Rattus norvegicus: one gene and its partners. The protein of the gene in region 2 purifies or fractionates together with the protein of the main gene of each other region. This does not show direct contact. Links are inferred from orthologs where the notes say so. Each region holds a gene or a part of one and is shown on either strand. Other genes may lie near its edges. The genes, in order: Api5, Ddx39a and Thoc1.

Region 1 (3,656 bases), on a different chromosome or scaffold from region 2:
TTTGAATGAAAAAGACTCCAAATTACTAGCTCTCATATTAAAAATGATGCAGTTTCCATCTAGCAAACTGCATGAGATGGTAGTAATTCACTCATTTCATATAGGAAGATAAGAGCTAATAGCCAAAAAAACCTTAGAAGCCTCACAAGTAACTAGCAATGCCAAATGTTAATTCTGCACCATAGGAAAAGGCTTTATTATTATTTTTTTTCTTTTTTCTTTTTTTCGGAGCTGGGGACCGAACCCAGGGCCTTGCGCTTGCTAGGCAAGTGCTCTACCACTGAGCTAAATCCCCAACCCAAAAGGCTTTATTCTTAATCTGGTAATCAGCTACAGGTAATACAGTGACCAACTATTCTTATGACATATATAATAAATTTGTAAGGTACAAAAACTGTATTAACAATCTAATTTCATATGAACTGGGAACTATCTCAAAAAGATGTTGGATACATTCCATTTTCAGCAGTGGATAATGAAAAAACAAAATAAATAATTATTACTCCACATATTTTTCATAACTACAAGGTGACAGTTGGTGTTTTCTCAGTTGTAGCATTCACTCTGGGTCTGACACAATGTGACCATAGAATGACAGAGACTATAGACTGAGATGATTGCTATTTTGATCATGTCACTTTTACATAGATAATAGAAAGCTTACTTAAATGTCAGTCAAAAACTTACTGACACATCTTCATCCTCACAGAGGTCTAACTGTGCGTTGATAGCAGAATCAGCCAGCTCTGGAAAATGCTTAAAGAATTTTGGTATAAACTGAGCTGCTAATCGCTTTTCCTTGGTCCCGCCTTTCACACCATCCAATATCACTTGGTAGGCATCTTTATGCTGGAAAGAAGAAGAAAAGGAACAACATGTATCACACATGCACAAATGCTTCAGATGTTTATAAACACTAGTTTTACTACTTAAACTGGACACAACTTTTTTACTTTCTCTATTCCCTATTGCCCATTCCATTTTACATCAGCTGGGAAAGAGAAATATGATCCTAAGTTTAAGTCCAGGCCATGAGAGTGTCATGCTTTAAAAATGGAGACACACTGTAGACTCTTCAAAGTTATGTTACATTTACTTACAAAAAAGAAAAAGGTACCTGTGGCCAGGTGCCGTGGCCCACACTTGAAATGCTAGCATTCCAGAGGCTAAGGCGGAAGGTAGTAAGTGTGAAGACAGCCTGAGCTGCAACGCAAGACCTTGTCTCACCCTGCCTCCCACCCACAGGACCCTGCCTCTAATTAGTATTTTATGGAAGGTGAAAGGAACACATTTCTGAAATTAAATAATTCTAGGAAAGTTTAATTTCATCTTTCATTTTAGAATGTGAAAGCAGTGGCAAATTGTATAGCCAGTCAATTTTGGATTAAGACAAATTCTAACACCGCACATGAGAATACACTAAAGCCCACTTGTTTCCATCAAATAAATTCTTAAGTGCTCTCAAACTGGATAAAGTCTCAACAAGTTCCCAGTCCTCCTCACAAGCTACCTCCAAGCTGGTTCATTCATTAAATGACACTGATCATGTTGTCAGAAATACACACACATACACACAATACCACACACACACAAAACCACACGCACGCACGCACGAACGCACACACACACACAGGAGAGGGTGATGATATTGGGTGTCTTCCTCTACTACTCTCCACCTTATTTCTTAGCTATGGATTTTTACTTAAGTATATGTGTGTACATCTTTGTTTGTGTGTGCTATGTGTGTGGGGTGACTGCAGAGGTCAGAAGATAGCATGGGATCTCCTGGAGCTGAACTTACTTTTACAGGTGCTTGTGAGCTGCCTGACTCATGTGGGTGCTAGAACCAAACCTGGGTCCTCTGCAAGAGCAATGGGAGCTCTTAACTGCTGAGTCATCCACCTTCTATTACTTCCTGCTGATCCCAGGGCTCACAGACAGGCTAGCCAATAAGCTCCAAGGACCACCAGTTTCCACCTCCCAAACGCTCAGGCTCTGGGTAAGACTCAAGCCACTATGCTGAGCTTTTATGTTTGTGCTAAGTATCTGAGCTCAGGGCCTTGTACGGGTGGCTCTTTACCAGCACCGACATCTCTTCAGCCCTCTACTTGTCACCAATGTAGAAAATAAAACAGAAGTAGTATCTTCAGCAGTCAGTGACTTAGTGGTAGGTCAGACCATCCCCAGCATAAAATATTAGAAACAGTGCATTGCTCGGCCCATTCCTCTTCCAGCATGGCTGTTAGCTCCACGTGAGTTCATAGTGTCAACACAGTGAGTTTTAGCCAGCCAGTTACACAATGAGACACTGTCTCAAAACAGTATCAGAAGCATTAACTGTAAATACTCTGTGTGTGTGTGTGTGTGTGTGTGTGTGTGTGTGTGTGTGTGTATGTGTGTGGTGTGGTGTGTCCACAGAGGCCAGAAAAGCAGATCTAGAGTAACAAGATAGTTGTGAGCCATACGGGTGCTGGGAATTAAACCAGGGTCCTCCCTTGGCAAGAGCAAAAAGTGAGCCCCTGAACCACCTCATCAATACTTTGATGCATTTCTAAAATCATGTTTTGGTATGTTTTCAATAATTAATAAAACACAACTCTAAATTCTTTAAAGGTATACCTTCAAGAAAAATGTAAGGTACAATTTGAGCCATTTTCATCAATGTATTCTCCTAAAAAACTGTGTATATGAGGGCATAGAACATGTGATGTGGAAGTGGGGCACAGAGATAGGGAAGAGGGGAGAGCGGGGATGAGCGAGTTTAACTAAAACCAAGGATGTATGAAAAAGCCTAAGGGAGTCTGGTAATTGGTAAGCTAATTTAGAAATAAGTTTGAGCAGAGGTATCTTCTGGAGATCCCTAAAAGATACAAGTAATTAAATAAAAACCCAAGTGCCAAAGGTGAGCTCCTTCCCTATGAACTGTTGTTCAGGGAAGCCTCTAAAGTTCCCTGAACACAACAGATAATTGCCACTGTGGTTGACTGCTCACCAGAACTAGGTGGTAAGGCCTTACTGCTGATAAGACCACATGTTTTGGTTGCAGGCCATAAAGAAATCAGGATAAGCCTGGAAGCTTCCTTCCTGCTGGCCAGTCCTTAGAGTGCTAAAGAGTCTGCAGGATGTAGAGGGAGGCTTGTCATCAACAGTCACATCAGTTGTGAACCCTTGACACAGTAGGCAAGATATCCCCACTGGAGAAACAGTGGTGAATCTGTTATGTATGTAACTAACTGCTTTCTGACTAGAACTGAGGCTGGCTCCCTAGGATGGAATTCATAGCTGGTACTGTGAACCTGGTCTGAATCCTATGGCTGGGAAGGAAGGTCATAGGGCCAAACAGGGTAAACTACAGTTATTATTTTGCTAAATGGACACGTGTTCATCAAATTTCTGCCTAAGTAATTATACTTACTGTGTAGGTTAGCGCTGCGCTGTCGGCACTGCTCAGAGAAGCTTCTGTTTACAATGGAGAAGAGCAACAGCAGAGATTCTTATGTGGTCAAATACTGTGAATAAATGACTGCTGAACACTCAGCAGTACATGGGAGATGAGTTATCTCCCAGGCTCAGGGAACATCACAGAAGGGAAGGTAGAAAGAATACAAGTTCTAGAAGACGGAGTGAAGTGCTCTGCAATTCTCAGCAACTGCCAT
Region 2 (3,756 bases):
TCAACTGTGAGGCTGGCATACTTCCCCCAATAAGTAAAAAGAAACGTAAGATTAAGACTTTTACCAAAGTAGCAGCTTTTGTTTATGTGAACAAACCAAATTACTCTTTTAGTTTCAATCTCTCCATCCTCAAAGCCCTTTCTGAGCTTCTGCAGGTGAGTCAGTGGATTGAAATGTGGGAGCCAGGGCTTCCGTAGGTGCAGTAGCACATAGCACACAGGCACAGCACACCTTTAATCACAGCGCTCACACCTTTAATCACACGGAGGAAGAGGCAGGCAGATCTCTGAGTTTGAGGCCAGCCTGGTCACAGATGGAGGAATTCCCGGACAGCAGAGGTACTCAGAGAAACTCTATCTCGAAAAGGTACAACCAAACAAAAGAGTCAGGGGTTCTACACCAGCAGGAAAGGGACACTTTAAAAGGGTGGGGCACATACAAGAGCGACTAAGGTGCGGTTGCCAGTACTAAATGTGGCAGCGTCCACTCAGGCCCTCAATTCATCGCACGTGACTGAGCGGGATCGCTGATTGGTCCACTCCCCCCTCGGACACGCCCACTCTACGACTGCCCAATGAACACGAAGCTCTAGGTACGCCCTCTTTCACCCTTTTCACCAATAGCCGGCCGACAGCGTCCTTATAATCCAACCATCATTTCCTCCTCTGTTGAGTGATAAACCAGCTGTCCAGTGAGCAAGACCAGAGTTGGGCTCAAGGAAGGAAGCGTTGTAGCTCGCGTCCAGGGGCGCGGCGTGTACGGGTGGCTCTCTTCGCAGCTCGCGGAGGCGAACCGGGCAACAGGTAAGTGGCGGGTCCCGAGGCCCGGGCTGCGGTGCGGGGCTGTGGGTTCGCCGAAAGGGACGCCGCGGAGCGCGGTGCAGTGGGAAAAGTGGGCGCGCGCGGCGGCGGGACGGTTAGGCACCCCACTGGAGACGGCGGCCGTTGGGTTCCAGTAAGCATGCGCCAGGGGCGGGCCGGCCGTTAGTGCGTTGGCTTCCGGGATCGGTGTCATGGCGGCTCTCGGAGGCCCGCATGTGTACTGTGGTGGGTTTGAGGCACGGGGCGGCTCCAGGCTGCGTTTTCGGTCGCGGGGAGAGGACCCAGGCTTTCTGGGCAGATGCCCCGAGTCTGCACTCACCTGCTTCCCGTCTTGCTCCGCCGCTCTCCCAGGAGATTCACCTCCAGACTCCGAAGCGGAAAGCCGGTGTGGCGGCCCTTAGGCCATTCACCGGGTGTCGTTTTCCCGGTGTGAGGCCGGTTCAGCCAGTTGCATCTCGTCTTCCTGGGCCTGTTTGAAACTTTAGGTCTGTGACAGCCTGGGTTCAGTTATTTCATTTTCCTGATTGAACGAAGGCCTGACGTATTTGGAGGCATACATTCCGAGGTGCACCTCGGAACCTTTTGTGTATCTCGTTTCTTGAGACAGGATCTCTTTACATAATTCTGGCCGTTCTTGAACTTTCTCTGAAGACCAGGTCGGGCTCGAACTTACCGAGATCCACAAGCCTCGGTTCCCGGAACGCTGGTATTAAAGGCGGGTGCCACTATGCCGGGCTTCACATTTATCTTTTAACCAGCACAATAAGAAGTGTTTTTTAAACAATACTGCCTAAAAACAGAGTACACATCTGAGAGGCCCTAAGATAAGTTCTCCTGAAATCGAGGCTGTCCTTGTCGTTTTTTATTTAGGCATATTTATGTGAATGAACACCTGTGGTGTGCAGGTGCTCTTGGATACCGGAAGTACTGTCCCTGGAGTTAGAGGGTTGTTGTGAACTGAGAAACCTAACTCAGGTCTTCTGAAAGAGCATTAAGCACTCTTTTTTTTTTTTCTTTTTTCTTTTTTTCGGAGCTGGGGACCGAACCCAGGGCCTTGCGCTCGCTAGGCAAGCGTTCTACCGCTGAGCTAAATCCCCAACCCCATCATTAAGCACTTTTAAAGCACCCCCTTGCCTGGCCAGTCTTAGAACTTAACTTCTAAGGTTTTTGTTGTTGTTATTGAGACAAGATCTCTCACTATGTAGCCCTGGCTGGCCTGGAACTCAGAGTTCTGCCTGTCCCTGTCTCAGGCATTTAAAAAAATTTTTTTAATATATTCTAGCATTTGGGAACTAGAGACAGGATCTGGAATTCAAGACTAGCCTCAGCTACATAGCAAGTTTGAGGGGCTGCAGGAGACCCAATTTCAAATAAAAATAGGTAGTACATCTAGGCCATTCAAGTGTGATTCTTTTCTCCTCAGGAATGGCTTTGAGCTCTTCGGCATCTCCTCTCTACTTCAGCTCCCCCCACAGCTGATCACCTTTCAGAGGACTGGTTTCTCCCTGCTGCCGTTCTTATCTCCACTTGAGCAAATTCTTAATGAATCACTCAATTCCAAGCCTACTTAGCAGTTCTCCACGACTTAGCAATTTAGCTACACAGGCCCTGGGCCTGTCCAGCTCTCCTGTCCTCTCCTAGCTGTCCTAGCTGTCTCTGCTTTAAACCTTTGCTGGGGTGTAGAGCTTTAATACCTAGTTAAAGCATTTTTTTACTTTGTGTCTGTGTAGGGGTGTGTGCATGTTGATCAGAGGACAATTTGTCAGTTTTCTTCGCTATGTGGATTTGGGGGACTCACAACACAGTGACAAGCCAGATATGATTTAGCTGGAGTATGCCCCCTCTGTCTGCTGTGAGAGTTGTGTAGTGCATAGGGTCAGTGGACATGGAGTAGGCTGTTGGTGTAATACAGACAAAACAGTGTTAATCCAAATGACATCATGTGATAGTATATGCATTTTTACATCCTGTGGCATCAGTACAATCAACTGAAACATAAGCCCTTTAAAAAAGAAAACCTTGGGGCTGGGGATTTAGCTCAGTGGTAGAGCGCTTACCTAGGAAGCGCAAGGCCCTGGGTTCGGTCCCCAGCTCCGAAAAAAAGAGCCAAGAAAAAAAAAAAAGAAAACCTTTTGGTCCCCAGCTCCGAAAAAAAGAGAAAGAAAGAAAACCTTCTGGTGGGCTAGAGAGAGACCGATTAAGAGCACATGATCTTTCAGAGCACCAGGGTTCAATTCACATGATCTCATATTGTTTGGCTATAAAGGGAATGCAGCATTTATTTCCATTGCATTGTGGGTGAGTGTTGAGAATGGTAGATTGAAGGAATCAGAAAGGAAAAGGCCAGGTAATGCTGTCTGAACCTATTTATAGAAAATGCTCAGAAAAGGCTAGTCTGCAGAGACCAGAAACAGATTGTTTCTGGGAGTTAGGCAATGGCTGCAGGCTTTGTGGGTTTGGGTGTGGAGTTCAGGGTTTTTCACATGCTAGGCATTTGTGGCTGAGCCACACCCCAGGCCAGGGGCCTTTTTTTTTTTTTTTTTTTTTTTTAGATTTATTTATTTTGCTTATGTGTTTTGTCTGAATGCATTTATATTCAAAGGGCATGCTTCATGGTCAGAAGGTCAGAAGAGGACTTTGGGTCTCATTGGAACTGGAGTTATGGACAGTTGTGAACCATCATGTGGATGCTGGGAATAATTGAACCTCGGTGCTCTGAATGAAAATGTGCTCTTAATCAGCCATCTCTTCAGGCTATCCAGAAGGTTTTCTTTTTTTAAAGGTGGTGAACTATGTTAGAGTTGATTGTGCGAGCGTGTTTGTGACTCCTGAATTGTGTACTTTGACTGGTGAGTTGTATAGCTTATGACTGTTTTAGTAAAGCTGTTCTGATTTTAAAGAAAAAAACAAAAGGTCACTTCAACTTGGGGCCAGC
Region 3 (2,555 bases), on a different chromosome or scaffold from region 2:
AGTCAGATGAATTCAATACTATACAGTTTCTGCAAATAGCTAATAATCTAAGCAGTTAAACATCCATTTAAAATACAAGAAACTTTAGGTTGGCCAGTGTTATTTCAAAAGAAACACAAAGTTGTAAAAGTGATGAATTCCTTTGGACACTGAATTCTGTGATCAGTTTCATTACCTCACATACCTGTTGTTTATGTTTCAGGAACCTTAATTTCCTTAGCAATCTAAGGAAAGGACCAAATGTTGAATATTGTAGCAAGTTGGTCGATTTGAGTTGATTAATAATAAAATTTTGGGAATATTATGACATTTTGGACTATATGTTCTAATGCTCTGTAAAGTACCCAAGATTTTTATTAGATAATAACTCTGTAACACTGTGGGTAAGCCAGCATTTCAGGTTTGTAAAGTTTGCTAACTTACATGGAATGTGTACTGTAATGGTTTTACTCAGTCTCATTGGCTAGTTGGAGAAGGAAGTAACTTGGCACCTGTGTTTTCCCACTAAACCAGGTGAGGTGGGTTTACAACAAATACACCAAAACCATGTTTAGAGTGCACTGAGAATTAAAAACTATTATACAAAAAGCTTCTCGATAGTTTATTTGACCTAGAAAAGCATTCCAAAGAGAATTCTTTAAAGTAGAAATTGGATTTCCAGTGTTGTTTTAAATAAGGTGTTTAGTATTTTAGAATGCATCCTTGAATGTAAGAGAGAAGAGGCAAAAAATCCATTCTCCCTTTCAGTTCCTGAGCATGCCTTAATTTGCTTAGTGCAGAGGGTACCAGGAAGCTGGAGCTGTGCGCAGCCACTGCTTCCCCAGCTAGTGGAGTGTGCATGGTCCAGGCAAGGACACTTTTAACCTTCACCAGACACCAAACACCCACAGGAAATGTTGTATGGGAACAGAACATGAACCTTCAGCCAGCACCGCACATGCTCTGCTACATACAGTGTATTTTCACAAGTCAACTGACAGGAATCCCTGGGTGTTTAGAGACTTGAGGATGTCAAGTAATCTTTATAAAGCTAAAGGAGTAGTTGGGTCTTAGACTCCACTTCACATAAAGTTAGAGGCTAGCAAACATTTTCTGTATTGGCCAAACAGCAAATGGTTTGCAGGGCCCCTGGCTATCAGTCTGGACTCTTGCTGTAGTAGAGTAAACATGGCAGACTGCCAGTAAAACACTTAAACTATCCATCCTTTGCCAATCCTCTGCTTTCCAGCTTTCCAGTCCTAAGGTTTCAGAAGTGTCATCTTGTGATTTCAGAATACATTTTATAACTGATAGCATGCAGGAAACTAATTTGGGACAGGACTCTAACATACTCATAAATAGTACTCATTTAACTTCATTATAAAAATACTTACAAAAAGTCGTCTGTGATCTTGTGGTCCTTTTACTTTGGCCATTTTCCCACCCTGTCCTCCTATACTCCAATGCCTGTTCGGTATGTGGTTTTTTGAGCACCAGCTAACTGTACAACAGCTGTTATAAAAGTGTTTATTGTTTACCAAAACCAGTGAACCTTTTATCAAATGCTGCTTGGTAACAAAATCTTAATCACTGTTCAATAAAAAAGGAGAGAAAGAAAGAAAGCTAACTGTTTGTTTCAGTGTCATTAGTTAGACTTTCTGCAAGGTCACTTAACCCAGACTTGTTCAGTGCACCAATCAGGTTATCAGTTGTTGCGTGAACTCCTTCTTGATCTTGCCAGGCAACAAGGAGCTGTTTGGCTCTCATCTTCATGTCCTCACTGTCACATTCAATCTGCCTAATGTCAGAGTCTTTAATTTCCAGGTAAGGAGCCAAAATCTTCCACTGCTCACCAAGTTTGTTGGCAAATGACTCTATCTGTTCCCCTGTTAGAGGTTTATCTCGCCGAACATCAGGACCTAGAAAACAGGGGATATAAATTATGTGCAAAATATAGAGATGTGCATTTAAAATATCGGAAAGAACAGCAAAGCTAGAATTACCAGTGGGTTACTAATCCCCTAAAACTTTAAAACTTGAAAATTTCCATAGACTGTATACATCCTTTTAAAGCACCCATCTTCTTTGCCTTTTAAAATTATCATCTCCAAATTTCATTCTATAAAATGGACTTTAAGTGACCAATGTTTTTAACTTATTTTAAGTCAAAAGTAAGATAAAATGGTAGAACTGAGAAGTAAATCAAATTAAATAACAAAGATCCCCCAGTCTTTTCCAATTTTGTAAAACAGCCAAAAAAATTCAATTCTTACTTTCATTTTCCTTTAGTAAAGCATCATTATCTTCCTCATCTTCATCCTCACCTGTTTTTATTTCTTCAGAAGGGGGCTATAGTAAATGAAGAACAATGTTTAAAAGAACTTCAGTTTCTGAAGATAAAAGATCTTAGGTAGAAAGAGTGAGAAGCATGGGCAGGCAGGTTTGCAAACACCTAAGCTTTAAGGCAGTTCTGTCTAAGGGGTGACAGGGATTGACCATGTCCACCATTACCATACTGTAAGGAAACAGTGGGGAAGGCTCTGCCAGGTGACCTTCTGTTACTCTTAGATCCTGCT

The links.
Region 1: the proteins of Ddx39a (region 2) and Api5 fractionate together in Homo sapiens (co-fractionation; 3 studies listed by BioGRID, with this or other methods). This does not show direct contact. The link is inferred for Rattus norvegicus from reciprocal best matches to the Homo sapiens genes DDX39A and API5.
Region 3: the proteins of Ddx39a (region 2) and Thoc1 purify together in Homo sapiens (affinity purification with mass spectrometry; 3 studies listed by BioGRID and IntAct, with this or other methods). This does not show direct contact. The link is inferred for Rattus norvegicus from reciprocal best matches to the Homo sapiens genes DDX39A and THOC1.

What each region holds. Positions count from the first base shown.
Region 1 is NC_086021.1:100,848,441-100,852,096, forward strand, and holds part of Api5 (apoptosis inhibitor 5), read right to left. Parts: intron 850-3,656; coding exon 688-849; intron 1-687. UniProt on the Homo sapiens protein: Antiapoptotic factor that may have a role in protein assembly. Negatively regulates ACIN1. By binding to ACIN1, it suppresses ACIN1 cleavage from CASP3 and ACIN1-mediated DNA fragmentation. Also known to efficiently suppress E2F1-induced apoptosis.
Region 2 is NC_086037.1:41,328,665-41,332,420, reverse strand, and holds the start of Ddx39a (ATP-dependent RNA helicase DDX39A), read left to right. Parts: upstream 1-1,007; 5' UTR 1,008-1,306; exon of another isoform or gene 1,307-3,756. UniProt on the Homo sapiens protein: Helicase that plays an essential role in mRNA export and is involved in multiple steps in RNA metabolism including alternative splicing. Regulates nuclear mRNA export to the cytoplasm through association with ECD.
Region 3 is NC_086036.1:1,289,982-1,292,536, reverse strand, and holds the end of Thoc1 (THO complex subunit 1), read right to left. Parts: intron 2,329-2,555; coding exon 2,253-2,328; intron 1,899-2,252; coding exon 1,603-1,898; 3' UTR 581-1,602; downstream 1-580. UniProt on the Homo sapiens protein: Component of the THO subcomplex of the TREX complex which is thought to couple mRNA transcription, processing and nuclear export, and which specifically associates with spliced mRNA and not with unspliced pre-mRNA.